Linked DNA regions of Nothobranchius furzeri. The protein of the gene in region 1 interacts with the protein of each later gene in a pairwise test. Links are inferred from orthologs where the notes say so. Each region holds a gene or a part of one and is shown on either strand. Other genes may lie near its edges.

The links.
Region 2: the proteins of pin1 (region 1) and amot interact in binary tests that used the Homo sapiens proteins (3 or more experiments, as listed by UniProt). The two-hybrid records come from large-scale screens. The link is inferred for Nothobranchius furzeri from reciprocal best matches to the Homo sapiens genes PIN1 and AMOT.

The regions. Positions count from the first base shown.
Region 1 is NC_091744.1:9,174,743-9,181,833, forward strand, and holds the end of pin1 (peptidyl-prolyl cis-trans isomerase NIMA-interacting 1), read left to right. Parts: intron 1-3,825; coding exon 3,826-3,935; 3' UTR 3,936-4,550; downstream 4,551-7,091. UniProt on the Homo sapiens protein: Peptidyl-prolyl cis/trans isomerase (PPIase) that binds to and isomerizes specific phosphorylated Ser/Thr-Pro (pSer/Thr-Pro) motifs.
Region 2 is NC_091750.1:44,156,062-44,163,954, reverse strand, and holds part of amot (angiomotin), read left to right. Parts: coding exon 1-36; intron 37-437; coding exon 438-582; intron 583-1,138; coding exon 1,139-1,231; intron 1,232-1,371; coding exon 1,372-1,517; intron 1,518-2,294; coding exon 2,295-2,444; intron 2,445-3,609; coding exon 3,610-3,806; intron 3,807-5,835; coding exon 5,836-5,964; intron 5,965-6,448; coding exon 6,449-6,687; intron 6,688-7,033; coding exon 7,034-7,315; intron 7,316-7,893.

The DNA.
Region 1 (7,091 bases):
AGTTTACAACCTCTTTTCTTCATTTCTAGCTACACTTGCCAGTACTATGTTTACAACAATTTACTGGTATACCGTTTAACATATAATGTGTTTATTTATTTATTTATTCGTTTATTTAGCCAGTGTGAGTCCATTTGTGAGCAGAGTTTCAACTAAAATGCTGTTTAGGAACGACCAAATTCAAAGAACTTTTAGCGACATAAATATTTTGCTGAAAAGAAACATTACAACTAAAATATAAACAAATTGAATGTGGCTAAATAGACTGCTGATGACCCCACCGAGAATCGAACCAGCATCAGCTGAGGGGAAAGCAAAAACCAACTCAGACGATTTTACCACTAGACTACCAGAGGCCATTCAATAGACCGAAGTGCTGTTGTACACCACTTTTATTAGACCAGCTGTAGGCAGATATTCGTTAAAAGAAACCTTTTCATTTCGAGATATATTCAGTCTTTGTCATGTAGCAAGTTATATTTATCTTGTTTAATTGGAGTATAGAACATAGCATTAACGACTGTAAACTAGTAACAGCCGTAATTCATGTGGGTCAGGTCAGTTTGCGATAAAGTTGAAAACAAAAACGGAAGTCAGTGGGCTAGGCTGAGTTTGCGTGAATGGGCGGGGTGCAGCTCCGCCTTTGTGGTTTTGCAGCCAGCACCCTCTCCAAAATAACCACAGTTTTTTCCCTCAGTGTCATTTGATCTATTTCTTGGGAAGATGGATGGATGGATGGAGATATATATATATATATATATATATCAATAATTATTTTTAATATAGCCTTTTTCAATACCAAACTTTCAATACCAAACAAAAATGAACTACAATAAAATTACTGGCACACTAAATTCCAATTCTCCTCAATGGGACTTGAACTCGCCAACTGATCTCCCTTACACGACACCAAACGAGGTGCTTTACTTGATTTGGGAGGGGGGAATAAAAGCAGTAAAACAATAAAACTTTGAACATTACAACACAAAGAGAAAATAAATAATGTTACAGCAATTGCGGAATGCCATCTGCGGGATTCGAACCCGCCGCAACGACCAACCAGTAGGTGTCAAACCATGACTAATGAGTGCAAGCCTTGGCGCTCAGGGACACCCATCAGATTGTGAGGCCACAGCACATACGTTTTAGACTGGGTGGGATTCTTATACCCAACAGGAGTCTTCTGCCCGCCTTCTCATTAGAATATGCATAATTTGTGTTTCAGGCACTAGTTAACTAGTGAGCTGCTGCACTCCCACACATGTAAACTGGTGAAATTTCAATTGTTCCACTAGTTAACTAGTGGACAAAAATGGTCAGCTTGTATGTGTTTTTAGATGCAACTAGTTAACTAGTGAGCAAATCCGCACCTCACTAGTTAACTAGTGAGGTGCAGATATGCTCACTAGTTAACTAGTGAGGTACTAGTGAGGTGCAGATATGCTCACTAGTTAACTAGTGAGCATATCTGCACCTCACTAGTTAACTAGTGAGCAAATCCGCACCTCACTAGTTAACTAGTGAGCATATCTGCACCTCACTAGTTAACTAGTGAGCAAATCCGCACCTCACTAGTTAACTAGTGAGCAAATCCGCGCCTCACTAGTTAACTAGTGAGCAAATCCGCACCTCACTAGTTAACTAGTGAGCATATCTGCGCCTCACTAGTTAACTAGTAAGCAAATCCGCACGTCACTAGTTAACTAGTGAGCATATCTGCGCCTCACTAGTTAACTAGTGAGCAAATCCGCACCCTACTAGTTAACTAGTTGGCGTTTTGGGGCCCACTAGTTAACTAGTGAGCATATCTGCACCTTACTAGTTAACTAGTGATGCTTTTTTGCACCTTACTAGTTAACTAGTGGGCGCTTAATGGTGCACTAGTTAACTAGTGAGCAAATCTGCACCTCACTAGTTAACTAGTGAGCATATCCACACCTTACTAGTTAACTTGTGGGCGTTTTGGGGCCCACTAGTGAACTAGTGACACTTATTTTGCACCTCACTAGTTAACTAGTGGACATTTGTACCCTCTCTAGTTAACTAGTGAGCAGTTCCGCCTTCACAAGTTTACATGTAAGTGTCACACTGAAGCCACTACTAGTTTACTAGCTGAGGTTCCTCTGGCCAGCATGTTAACTTGTGTGCCGCATGCAAATGTTTGGGGTGGGATTTTGCAAAATTCCGCACTGTGATTGGTTTTCATATTTTATTTTAACATAGTGAGCCAATAGAAAGCCTCAATTTGAGAAATTCTCTGCCTCCTAATTAGAATTCTGTGCAACTAGCTAGCTAGTGTGAATGTAGGCTTGAACTAGTTTACTAGTATACATTTATGTCCTCACTAGTTAACTAGTTTGGACAATGGATGCATCAACTAGGTAACTAGTGAGCCTGCTACAATCAACTAGCTAGCTAGTGAGTCATTAATGGTTCACTAGTTAACTAGTGGCACTGCCCTACTCCAACTACTTAACTAGTTAGGAGTTTTGCCTTCACTAGTGAACATGTGGACACTTTGAACTGTCACTAGTTAACTAGTGAGACACAAAAACCTTCAACTAGCTGACTGGTATGCATTTTAGCCCTTACTAGTTAACTAGTGAGCCATTTTTGTGTCACCTAGTTAACTAGGAAGCCAAAATGTGTTCACTAGTCAACTAGTGGGCATTTCTTCTGTCACTAGTTAACTGGTGTGCACATTTTGGCCATCACTAGTTAACTAGTGAGACACAAAAACCTTCAACTAGCTGACTGGTATGCATTTTGGCCTTTACTAGTTAACTAGTGAGCCATTTTGTGTCACCTAGTTAACTAGTGAAGCCAAAATGTGTTCACTAGTTAACTAGTGAACATTTCCGTCTCCCACTAGTTAACTGGTGGGCTCATTTTGACCCTGACTAGTTAACTAGTGAGACACAAATACCTTCAACTAGCTGACTGGTATGCATTTTGGCCTTTACTAGTTAACTAATGAGCCATTTTTGTGTCAACTAGTTAACTAGTGAAGGTCAAAATGTGTTCACTAGTTAACTAGCGTGTACAGTTTGACCCTCACTAGTTAACTAGTTGACCTGTTGACAAGATATCAGAATTAATGCTCAAGCGGCTGGCCAAATTGGGCAAAGTTAACAAGTGGGATTTTTACATTCAGTAGTCAGCTAGTACGAGTTTTTGTACCTTACTAGTTGACTAGTAAAAACTAAATGTGTTTTAACTAGTTAACTAGTGGACATTGATCTGTCCACTAGTTAACTAGTGAACACACTGAGCAATACTAGTTAACTAGTAAGATATGAAACATTTTAACTAGTTAACTAGAGAGAATTTAGGCCTTACTAGTTAACTAGTTGACATTTAGGCTGTCACTATTTAACTAGTTGACACAAACATGGCTAACTAGTTAACTAGTGGACAGAAATGGCTTACATGTTCATGACAATTCTGGCTGATATCCTGATATCAGAATAAATGCTCATTTGGCTTGCCATACTCAGGAGATCGAAACTCAGACCTCTTTTTGCTATACATTCATGTGGATGCCTTGGCTGAAGAGCACCAGTGAGAGTACCAGATAATGTTTTACACCGCTGCAGCACTTCCAGCATTTTTTCTATTTTCAACACTTTGGGGGTGTTTTTCATAAGGAAATAACAGCATAACATGGTCATAAGCTTTTAAAAACCATACCGAGAAATAAAAATTCCATTAAATATCTTAGAAAAGCTCCTACGTTGAAAACAGGTCATTAATGCAAGGTCAGAATGAAAAACTGTGAAACATACTAGGACAATTATTTTCTCTAACACAACATTTCTGTTTCAGGTCAGATGCAGAAACCTTTTGAAGACGCCTCCTTTGCTCTGAAAGTGGGAGACATGAGTGGTCCTGTTTTTACCGACTCTGGAGTCCACATCATCTTACGCACGGGCTGAATGCAACACACACACACAGCACCACCTTCTGCTCTTAGAATGACAGAAAAACAAAGGATAATTAAATGACACTGAAATGCAATGAGCGTTTCAGATATTCCTGATTACTTCAAGCTTTTAATAACCAGAAAACGGCCGGCATATATGAACATTATTGCCTGTTGTAATAAATGCCCTCCAGAAACACTCAGCAAAAATGAGCTAAAGCAAAATGCTAGAATCGGGTCGTGCATGTCAGAGTGTTATGTTTTTCTGTAACAGGTTTCATTCCTGCTGTTGGTGTGTGCCTAAGCAGTAATCTAATCTGTTTTTGTTTCTTTGGTTCTGTTTAGAAGGTTTTAAAGACAGTTAGGGTGAACAAAGTGTTATTTTACATTCTTTACTCTCATCACATGACTTTTTAGTTAAACTTTGTTTTCGGCAGAGATTCAGAAATCTTCATTTCTTTTTTTGGGTTGATAATGTGCATGGTCTGTTCCCCCCGGACTTATCAAAAGCTTGCAGGTTTTAGCGTAAAGTAAAGGCTTTTATAGCTTTAATGCTCAGATGAACTGTTACCACTGTTGTCATTGGGGAATACAAATAAAAAATAATAAAAAATCTGTTTCATTTTTATTAATTTTTTTGTCAAATTTTTTTATGTTACGTTTCAGGTTTCTAGATTCCTAAAAACATTTAATCCACACAGAAATATGCCTGAGTATTGTAACAGAAAAACAGATTGAAACAAATAAAAACAAGGGGGTTGGTGGAAAACCTTCCCAGATAGTTGTGTACTGAGTCGTCTGCTTCAGCTCTGTGATATTTTGTTAACATTTTACAAACTGAGTGTATTGTCACTTGTCTGGTTCCTGGTCCCAAATGACTTCCTTGTTGGATCTCCTCCAGCTAGTGGACCCCTCGTCCCCCAAAATAAATCACTGACATGTAAAGCGAATGACTGCTAACTGAAGCTAATTCCAGAGCAGTGGCAGATTTTTCTGAATACGGGGCCATCAAGGGGCCACGATACAGAGGGGCTAAGTATTAGTCCAACATCTTTACACAAAGTTTCCTATCTGGCTCTTTAGTGTTTGGACTTGAAATTGCATCCACTTAATTTCATTCCAGTTCAACATTATTATTGGTGCATTGAGATCAGTTCATTATTCCTATGTAAGAAAACCCAGCAGACTGCATGGAGTCGCTGACTTGTGTCTGAGACTTTACAGTGATCCCCATATTAAGCAAGCATGTAGTGAGAGTGGAGAGGAAAACTCCAACAGAATACGTCTGTTTTTCCAGAAACACTACTCAGAGCAACTCAGACTGATGCAGCTTGGTCTGACCACTGTTCTCAAGGGCGTGGTTTGGTATTTTTCCTCTAGTTTCTCCCCTAATTTTAGTCCCTGCTGCGAGGTACCTGGCAAGGCTGGGTCGGGCCAGCATCGTGATTCTGGCCTCTGATTGGCTAAGGGGCGGAGTCACCGGTTGATCCAGATTTTTTTGTCTTGTTAGGGTTTCCCCCAGAAAATGAGTTAAGCCTGGCGGATTCGGCCGTCGGGGGGGGGGGTCACGCGCTCCGTCCAGCAGCGCTCCTCCTGGGGGGGGATTTGCACACGTTCCGCTGCTGTGTCTCACCAGTATCAGCTGATGGAGGGCTCTAGTTTCGTTGTGCTGTTCGTGTCAGCGGACACGATAGGGTCGGGGAGGGGGGCGGGTGGCCAGACTTATAAAGCACTGGGGGAAACCCTGTTTGTGTTTCACTGCCTGCAGCCATTTCCTGGTTCAGAGTCCGACAAAATGTCATAAAACTGAGCAAAGTGTCTAGCAACACCAACATTTTTCAGCTGAGTTGTGTTTGTGTGGAGCATAAGTTATCTTACACTGTTTACTGATATCCTCATGTTATTTTGTCATGAGTAAAGATCACGCAGGATCTTGAAATGAATCCTGAAGTTGACTGGCAGCCCCTTGATGCAATTTGCTGGGTTCCTTATATAGGAAACGTTTTTCTGATTGGCTTAATGAACTGACCTGTATTGGAATGTTTTATTATGTGAAGTGCCTTGAGACGACTCTTGTCGTGATTTGGCGCTAGATAAAAAAACTTGAATTGAATTGAACCACCTGTAGATGGGTCAGGGAGGTTCTGCTCAGACACGTGAAGAGAAAGTTACAGTAGTCTAAGCGTGAGGAGATGAAGGTGTGGATAACTGTCTCAAGTTCAGAGCGGGACAGAATGGGACTCAGCTTAGCAACGTTCCTGAGATGGAAGGAGGAAGAGCGAACAAGAGTACTGACATGAGAATCCAGGGTGAGAGCTGGGTCAAAGGTCATGCCAAGATTCCTGACAGAGAGTTTTGTGTGAGAAGCAAGCTGACCAAGAGAGTCTCAGCCAAACGTGTCACTGGGTTGGGGATTTATTCTGTAATAAGAAATTGCAAACTTCCATAATGATGACTGAACTCAGATTTTTTGTTTTTGTTGTTTTAATTGTGTGGGTCACACAGACTTATGTTACTGCTCATAACAAGTGATTCAGTCAGTTCAGTTACAACAGGCTCTCTTAGCTAACTGACTTAACAAGTAAATGAGACATAAGTTTCCATGGATGTCACAAATATCAAATTTAATCACATGTAATATAGAAATGACAAACTTCATTGAAAACAACTTCAGCTGAGGATTCTTGAATTATAAAATCCTGCAAGTTCTTGAATAATTGCAAAACATTAAGTTAAGGCTGTGAACTGTAAAAAAGCAAATCCAAAGCAGCATCTTTCACTGACCAACTGCTACAGGGATCGGGCAGACAGCGTGTCCATAGACCGATGTACCAGAAGTCTTTCATGGCTTTGATAGTTACGAGAAACTGTGCTTCAATGGATGGATCAGAAAAGAGCTGGTATGTGTCTCAAATCATTTGAGGAGATGACCGTACATTACTCACGGACCAAACTATACGGCACCAGTAGCAGCTCACCCATGGGGGCACTGGGGCACTTTTCTCTTTGAGTGGGGAAAATAAACAAACTACAATAAATATTTTCTACAAATGTGTCGGATTCAATTTTTTACACACCCTTTTCACCAGCTGTCGTTCATTAAACAATACATTTCCTCCAACCGACTCAGTAGTTACACTCCTGGGCACTGGGAAAAATGCCCCCAAAC
Region 2 (7,893 bases), on another chromosome or scaffold:
GAGGCTTGTCGTGAGAAGGTCACAAAGCTGCACAAGGTAATATTTTCTGCAAACTGCCTCAATCATTTGTAACTTTTTTAAGTGAGTTGTGGGAATTAGTTGAACACACAATCCAATCAGACCACGTCTTACTAGCCTGTTCGAGTTTAACCACAAACTTGAAAATAAGATGCAGACGGGTTCCCAGAGGATAAGGCTTCCTAAAGTTCCTGCATAAGACAGGCAGATTAAAAGGAAATAAAACGTCATTAATAAACTCCTTAACACCAGTAGTGACAGAGAGAAGAGGACATTTCAAAGGTCAGAGGTCATGAGCCTCTCTGCTTTTGGGAATAAGTGGTTCCTCAGTCTTGTTCTGCGCCTTCTGAATGAATCAAACCTGTTTGTTGATATGATGGTGCCACGCTCACAGCCTGTTTTCTCTGATGTGTGTGTAGCTGGAAATGGAGATCCAGCTGGTATCGGAGGCCTATGAAAACCTGGCCAAGTCCTCCTCCAAGAGGGAGGCGCTAGAGAAGACCATGAGGAACAAGTTGGAGCTGGAGGTGCGCCGTCTGCACGACTTTAACAGAGATCTGCGAGGTGAGTGCAGAAACGCACACCAATAAATCGACAGGACCTTACCGTTTTCTATCAGTCAGATTACAGAAAGGTCCGTTAGAATCCTCCAAAGTGGGTCAGAATCTACTGATTTCTTTAATCCTGTCTTGTTTTTCTGTTCTGATGTGAACAAACACAAACCAGAAGCTAAGTTGTGAGTGAGGATGGTGAAGTTTGCTTTTACACACCCGTTAAAACCACCAGAAGGCTGTTCTCAGGGTGGAGGTGGGCTTGGCCATTTTCAGAAAGTAGGGTCTACGCTTAACGTTGGCTGTGTGAAAAGAAAAGCCTCTTTGTTTTTGTGTTTTAGATTCAAAAACAAATAACAAAAAAATGAGTCACTTATTGTTTTTGGATCACACTAAAATAAAAAAGAAGAAATGATGGGCGGCTTTTGTTTTGCTCTGCAAACAGCAGCTTATCCAGCACAGTTGTGCTCTTCTTGCAGTTTGTGTTCTTAATATTTTGTATCCATATTCTGAGTCACTATTAAACAACAGCAGCGGTGGCATGAATCTGTTCTGCTGCGTTTCCACAGAGCGCATGGAGATGGCCAACAAGCAGCTCGCCTCAAAAGAGTGTGACGGCTCAGAGGACAACCGCAAAACCATCTCCCAGCTGCTGACACAGAGTCAGACACACACTCACACACACACACACACGCACGCACGCACGCACGCACACACACACACACACCCTAACCTGATGAATGATTCCATATTGCCCAGCTCTACCTCTTCATGCTGAGTTTCCATTCTTCTACATCTACAGACAAAGAAACGCTGCGTGAGAAAGAGAAGGTGGAGATGGAGCTAAATGCCCTCCGCTCCACCACAGATGACCAGAGGAGACACATCGAGATCAGAGACCAGGCCCTCAACAATGCTCAGGCCAAAGTGGTCAAGCTGGAGGAGGAGGTAGTGCTCTTTTACGTAGTCCGTCTGTGTAAAAACGTCCTCCAGTGGTGGGTCAGCCAGTCAGGGGACAACGGGGAGTTAGACAGGACTGAGGGGTTCCCGGTCAGGGAGAGGACGAGACGAGGAGGAGAGTGCAGCACAAAGAGGGCGAATATTAGAGGGAAAACACTTGCAATGGCCGGCTGATCTGGTGTTTAACTGATAGCTTTGTCTGGTCATTATTGACTCCAGTTAGGAAGCAGAATATTGACTCTCTGATGACGAAATTCATTCATCCAGCCGGAAAGATTGACGCTGCTGCAGCTCGCAACATCAGACAGCTGGTGCTGCCTTACAAGCTCCAAACGCTGAGTTTGAAGTTTGTTTCACCGTGTTTGGGACATGGTGGATGTACAAATAATGGTTAGAACACCGCTAACCCTAACCGCGGCAGATGCGCTACATATGGAAGTCAAAGTGTGCCGCATAATCATCAAAATAAAATTTAAACATTAAAATTTATATATATAAATATATATATGTATATGCATGTATGTATGTATGTATGTTATATATATATACACACACATATATATATATATATATATATATATATATATATTAGATTTGATTCTTTTTTTCAGAATCAAACATAATTTTAATCACCTTTGAAACGTACAATCCTGGAAAAACCTCGTCCAGCTAGTGTGAACGTCCTGTTCTCAGTGATTAGATCATAATTCATCCATCAAACTGTCCAGAGCTGTGTTTCTAATGTGTGTGTGTGTGTGTGTGTAGCTGAAGAAGAAGCAGGTTTACGTGGAGAAGGTGGAGAGGATGCAGCAGGCTCTGGCTCAGCTGCAGGCAGCTTGTGAGAAGAGGGAACAGCTTGAACATCGGTTGCGAACAAGACTGGAAAGAGAGCTGGAATCTCTCCGCCTGCAGCAGGTAAGGCAGCGTTGTGCACTCACGGCTCCTCGACTTCATCACAAGTTATTGAGCAGGCCTGTTGTGGGGGTGACCATGCATCTGGGTGCAGCTAAATAAAACAAGCTAAGTAAAAGTAGCAGACAATGTTCATAAACGCTCCACCACACCTGGTCTAACACGTTCCTCAGCTTATCTCACATCTCCAGAGTTTGCAGCAGAAAGAGTTGTCCGTTCCTGAGTGTCACGCTAAAGTCGTGTCAGAACACTTGTAAGACTGGAGATGTCTTCTCTGTCTAGTTCATTGTTGATCTGCACTCCAAAGCAGGAGCACTGGGAAGTCCTCCACCTGTTCTTTTGGCTTTGCCACTTTAAGCCAGGATCACATCAGCAGCGAAGCGCCACTAAGTGGATCGCTCACGAAATTTGAGTGCTGCCCGCTGCTGCTCTGTTTATATCAGGCGAGATTTTTCAACAAGCGCTTCTGCTCACGCCTACCGTCCCCCCCCCACCCCCCCCACCCCACCCTCATGCCCTTGCTGTGCGTGTGTGTGTGTGTGTGTGTGAGTGTTTGTGTCTTTGTTCATTTTCATCTCTATTCTGTTTAGATACACAAAAATGATCACATTTATCAATCGCTGTGCTTTATTTAGAAAAAAGTCTTTATTTTGTTACATTTACTGGCCTGCCTCTTCTGTTTGACTTCCTGACAAAATTCACACGGCTCGTGAAAAAGAGCACACACCAAAATGATCGCTGCACGCCGCGAGCCTTCGGCACTTCACAGCTGATGTGATTGAGACCGTAGGTTAACAAGGGCGCCGAGTAGAAGCGCTCTTCGTTCCACAGCGCTTCACGACGCATCGTCGCGCATCTGCGTCTGATGTGATCCAGGTGTTGGGCTGCAGGGGATTCTGCTCTCCTGCCTTGTACTTGGCTTCATTCCTTCCTGATCATACAACGTCAGGCATCAGAAAGGTTTAGGAGGTGGCAGCTCTCCTTGAGTGAAGACTAGACCACAAGGCCCACACCTGTGGAAACTCTAAATATAACAGTTAATATTTTAGTAAAACTCAAACACTTTTTAACGTTTTGTTCAGAAGCTTTGTTGCTTTTGTTTCTACAGTAAACATTTTGACGGGGAGATAAAACCCCACTTTTACCTTTTTGTCTCCTCGCCTCGCAGCGTCAGGGAAGCTCTCAGAGCAGCGGTGCCGTCCCGTCTGAGTACAACGCCACAGCCCTGATGGAGCATCTAAGGGAGAAGGAGGAACGGATTCTGGCTCTAGAGGCCGACATGACCAAGTGGGAGCAGAAGTACTTGGAGGAGAGCGTGATGAGGCAGTTTGCTCTGGATGCTGCTGCTTCTGTTGCTACTCAGAGGTGAGCGTTTCTCCAGTTAGGGGCGTTATGTTTATGTTTATGTATTTAGCAGACGCGTTTGTCCAAAGCGACTTACAAGTGATAATCGGCATGTTGCCCTTGAGGCTAACAACAACTTGACATCAGTCATGGAGAGGAGGGAACAAGGAGTGGACAGTAGAGAGGGGGGACGGGTGCAGGGAGGGTGCTAGTTTAGAAGATGCTCTCTGAAGAGCAGGGTCTTCAGGAGTTTCTTGAAAATTGAAAAGGAAGCCGCTGTTCTGGTAGTGCTTGGAAGGTCATTCCACATTTGTGGAACGATGCATGAGAAGAGTCTGGATTGTCCTGAGCGTGGTGTAGGCACTGCTAGCCGATGATCCTGTGATGACCGGAGCGGCCGGGCCGAGACGTAAGCCTTTGCAAGAGGATTCAGGTAGAGGGGAGCCGTACCATCTCGGACTTTGTATGCTAGTGTTAGCAATTTGAATTTGATGCGTGCTGCTAGCGGTAGCCAGTGGAGCTCAATGAACAGAGGGGTGACGTGTGCTCTTTTTGGCTGATTGAAGACCAGACGCGCCGCTGCGTTCTGGACCATTTGAAGAGGTCTCACAGTACAGCCTGGAAGACCAGTTAGAAGGGCATTGCAGTAGTCGAGGCGGGAGATGACAGTAGATTGCACCAGGAGCTGGGTGGCATGTTGTGTTAGGTATGGTCTGATCTTTCGTATGTTATACAGCGCAAAGCGGCATGAACGAGCAACAGAGGCAACATGATCTTTAAAGGTCAGGTGTTCATCAATCACAACACCCAGATTTCGAACTGCATTTGAAGGAGCCAGAGACAGGAAGTCATTCTGGATTGAGATATTGTGCTGTATGGATGGTTTCGCTGGGATGACAAGTAGTTCAGTTTTAGAGAGGTTGAGTTGAAGATGGTGGGATTTCATCCATTTTGATATGTCAGAGAGACAGTTTGATATTCGTGCAGAGACAGTGTGGTCGTCTGGTGGAAATGACCGATAGAGCTGGGTGTCGTCTGCATAGCTATACGTCTCACGCAGGAACATCTGGACTTGGGTCATTTAATGTCCAACATACTCGTTACCTTACCAACATGTGGTAAGTGTAGTCAGTTAGAGATTTTGTAATAGGAATCCTCTACGTGTTAGGCTGCACGCTTCCATTTAGCCCACAGCAGGTGAAAGATCGCATCTCATTACAAAATCTCAAATGAGCCAAAAATCCCCACTAGACTGAAACCGATTATAATATCCAAAAGCTGCTGAGTATGTTGTTGTAGTCCCACATCAATCGAATCTTCTGACCAGCGTCATAGGAACAGCACAGTCTGTGTAAGGCGGGAGGAATTTCACGTTGTTCTCAATGAAAATGTTACATTACCATGGTAACCCCACATGTAATACAAGTAATAATTTACACTTCTTGTGCCTGAACGGAATGTTTTGAGGAGTAAATTGTGCTGGTGAATGAATGAATGACATCTTCATTTCAGACATAAAAAATATTAATTATATTATTTATTATTTTATTATTATTATTAAATAATTAATAACAGATCTAATCAGGAAATGACAGGAAAATTATGATGTGCTCATTAAATCCTACCCCCCAGATGCCTCATCCAATAAAAACACCCATATAAATATTTGTATACTTAAGGTGTCCTCCATGTCACACATAACACTAACTCGCTCACCAGATCATGCAGAAATACGGCCCATCACATGTACTCCTGCATTAATGATTCTTTTAATAAAATATTTTAGTTGATTTATAATTACACAGCTTTTTAATTCCTCATCAGCCCTGTTCCACACATTTCCTCCACAGACTGAAATGCACATTATCCTCATTGGTGTACATGTGGACACAGTCCCCATGTCCCATGTGCAAAGACTATTTTCAAAGGTACAACAAGGCAGGAGACTCCTGGTCTATGTATATGGACTAGAGTGAGAGACATGGTAAAACTCACCTGATGACTGGAAGCCGCCGTTCTGTTGACGTGAACTTTGACCTTTGTTGTGCAGGGATGCTTCTGCAGCAGGAATAAACCACTCACCAAGCAGCAGCTACGACACGTCGCTGGAAGCTCGCATCCAGAAGGAGGAAGAGGAGATCCTCATGGCTAATCGTCGCTGCCTGGACATGGAGAGCAGGTTAGAGCCACATTCACTGTGTGCACTTCTGTCTTCATTCACATGTACATGACGTGCAGGCTCCCCTCACCCTGACCGCTGAGGCGTCGTCGCTCCTGAACTTTAACTGCAGGAGTGATGAGTCAAAGACTTTTGTGAAACACCACATAGCTCAGACTACTGATGGATGGACCACCAGAACCACAGAAGTTTTCCTAACTCGGACTCATGGTTACATTACCAGTGTTAACCAGCTGAGAGCATTGTCTGGAAACTGTTAACCGCAGCAGAGAAACCTCTCCTCTCTGATGGAAATGCAGAGAGAAGGGTCACATGGTGTCACTGTATAGCTGTAAAGGTTCCTGTTACCTTGGGTCGGGGTTAAGGTTGTTGCCTATTGCTGAACCTGTTAATTAAAGAAGCAGGTGGGATTAGTGCTGACTTGCACACTCAATTTCTCTCGATTAAGGGAGCTAAAGCTGTATTCTGTTCTTATATCCTCCAGGATAAAGAATCTCCATGCACAGATCATTGAGAAGGACGCCATGATCAAAGTTCTCCACCAGCGCTCCAGAAAAGAGCCCACCAAGTCAGATGCACCATCTGCAATGAGACCATCTAAGTCTCTGATGTCCATCTCTAACACTGGCTCTGGTGGGTCAGGGTTACTGTCTCACAGCCTTGGACTCAGCAGCTCCCCGATCACTGAAGAACGCAAAGACACAAGCTGGAAGGGCAGTCTGGGTACAGACCTGTCTGTTTTTTTTCTTTTTGTGCTGAGGATTAACTTCTTTGTAAATCAGACGTCAGAAACGTAAACAAACCCAGAACAAAGTACTCTGTTGTCATAGAGTACCACTACAGACATTCTGTGCTTCTGTTTTTACCTACTTTCAAACAAATCATTCCCAAACTAAACACTGGAACTCCTTTGTCATCAATATCCTAACTTCATGAAGGAGTACAGTGTTTCATAAAAATCACAATTGTTGCAAAAATAAGAAAGATGAGCATTTTTAGAAGTGCCTAAATACATGAAGCAGAAGATGTCCTTGCTTTTTGATGAGATCTTGTTTTCTTGGTTTTCCAGGGGTTCTTTTGGGTCCAGAGTCTCTGAGGACAGAGTCGATCTCATCTTCCCCTTCTCCCATACTGTCTTCCACCTCGATGATCACAGGCCACTCTAAGACTGGCAGTAGGGATAGCTGCACACAGACCGACAAGGGTCAATGCCAGGACACCAGCAAGCCCAACACTCCAGTCCTGCAGAGTATGACGCTGCCAGCCCGCCTGTCCAGCCCCAGCCCGGTTTACATCCCTGATCGCTTAGCAGGTCAGCTCACTCCATCGGAATTACACAGGATGCTACAAGGTGAAGAATGCCAAGCCACTTTACTCTCACCTTACAAAGCAAACTTTACCAAATTCGCTTTACTAAAAACAAAACGCACTTTACTAAAGTAAAAATTTCTAAACAAAACTTCTAAAATGAACTTTTCCTAAAATCACTTTACTAAAACAAAACATACTTTACTAAACAGGGTTGGGCACCGAGCATCGATTTGAACCGGGACCAACAGTTAGTTTTTCCTGGAATCGTTCAAAGTTTTATTTCGATTCCTAGTTTTGATTCCTAGAATGCCGACGGAAGAGGAATCCGCGGCCGATTTCAGTGAAAAATAAACGTGATCTGCAAATTGTGATCAACACTTTTCAGAGCTGATCACACCAGCTGTCTGTGTGCAGCACCGAGTCCCCCCCTCCCTCCAACCCAGATATAAACAAATGCGTCTGCCGAACTTTTACTCCGTGATGTAAACTTTAACTCCTGCAGCGTAGAGGAAACGTGTTAAAATACATCAACACGGTGGATTTAATAGAAGCTTTAAAGAACAAACTCTGGATGGTGTGAGGTGAGTTTGTCTCACGGCAGAAATAAAAATACACACG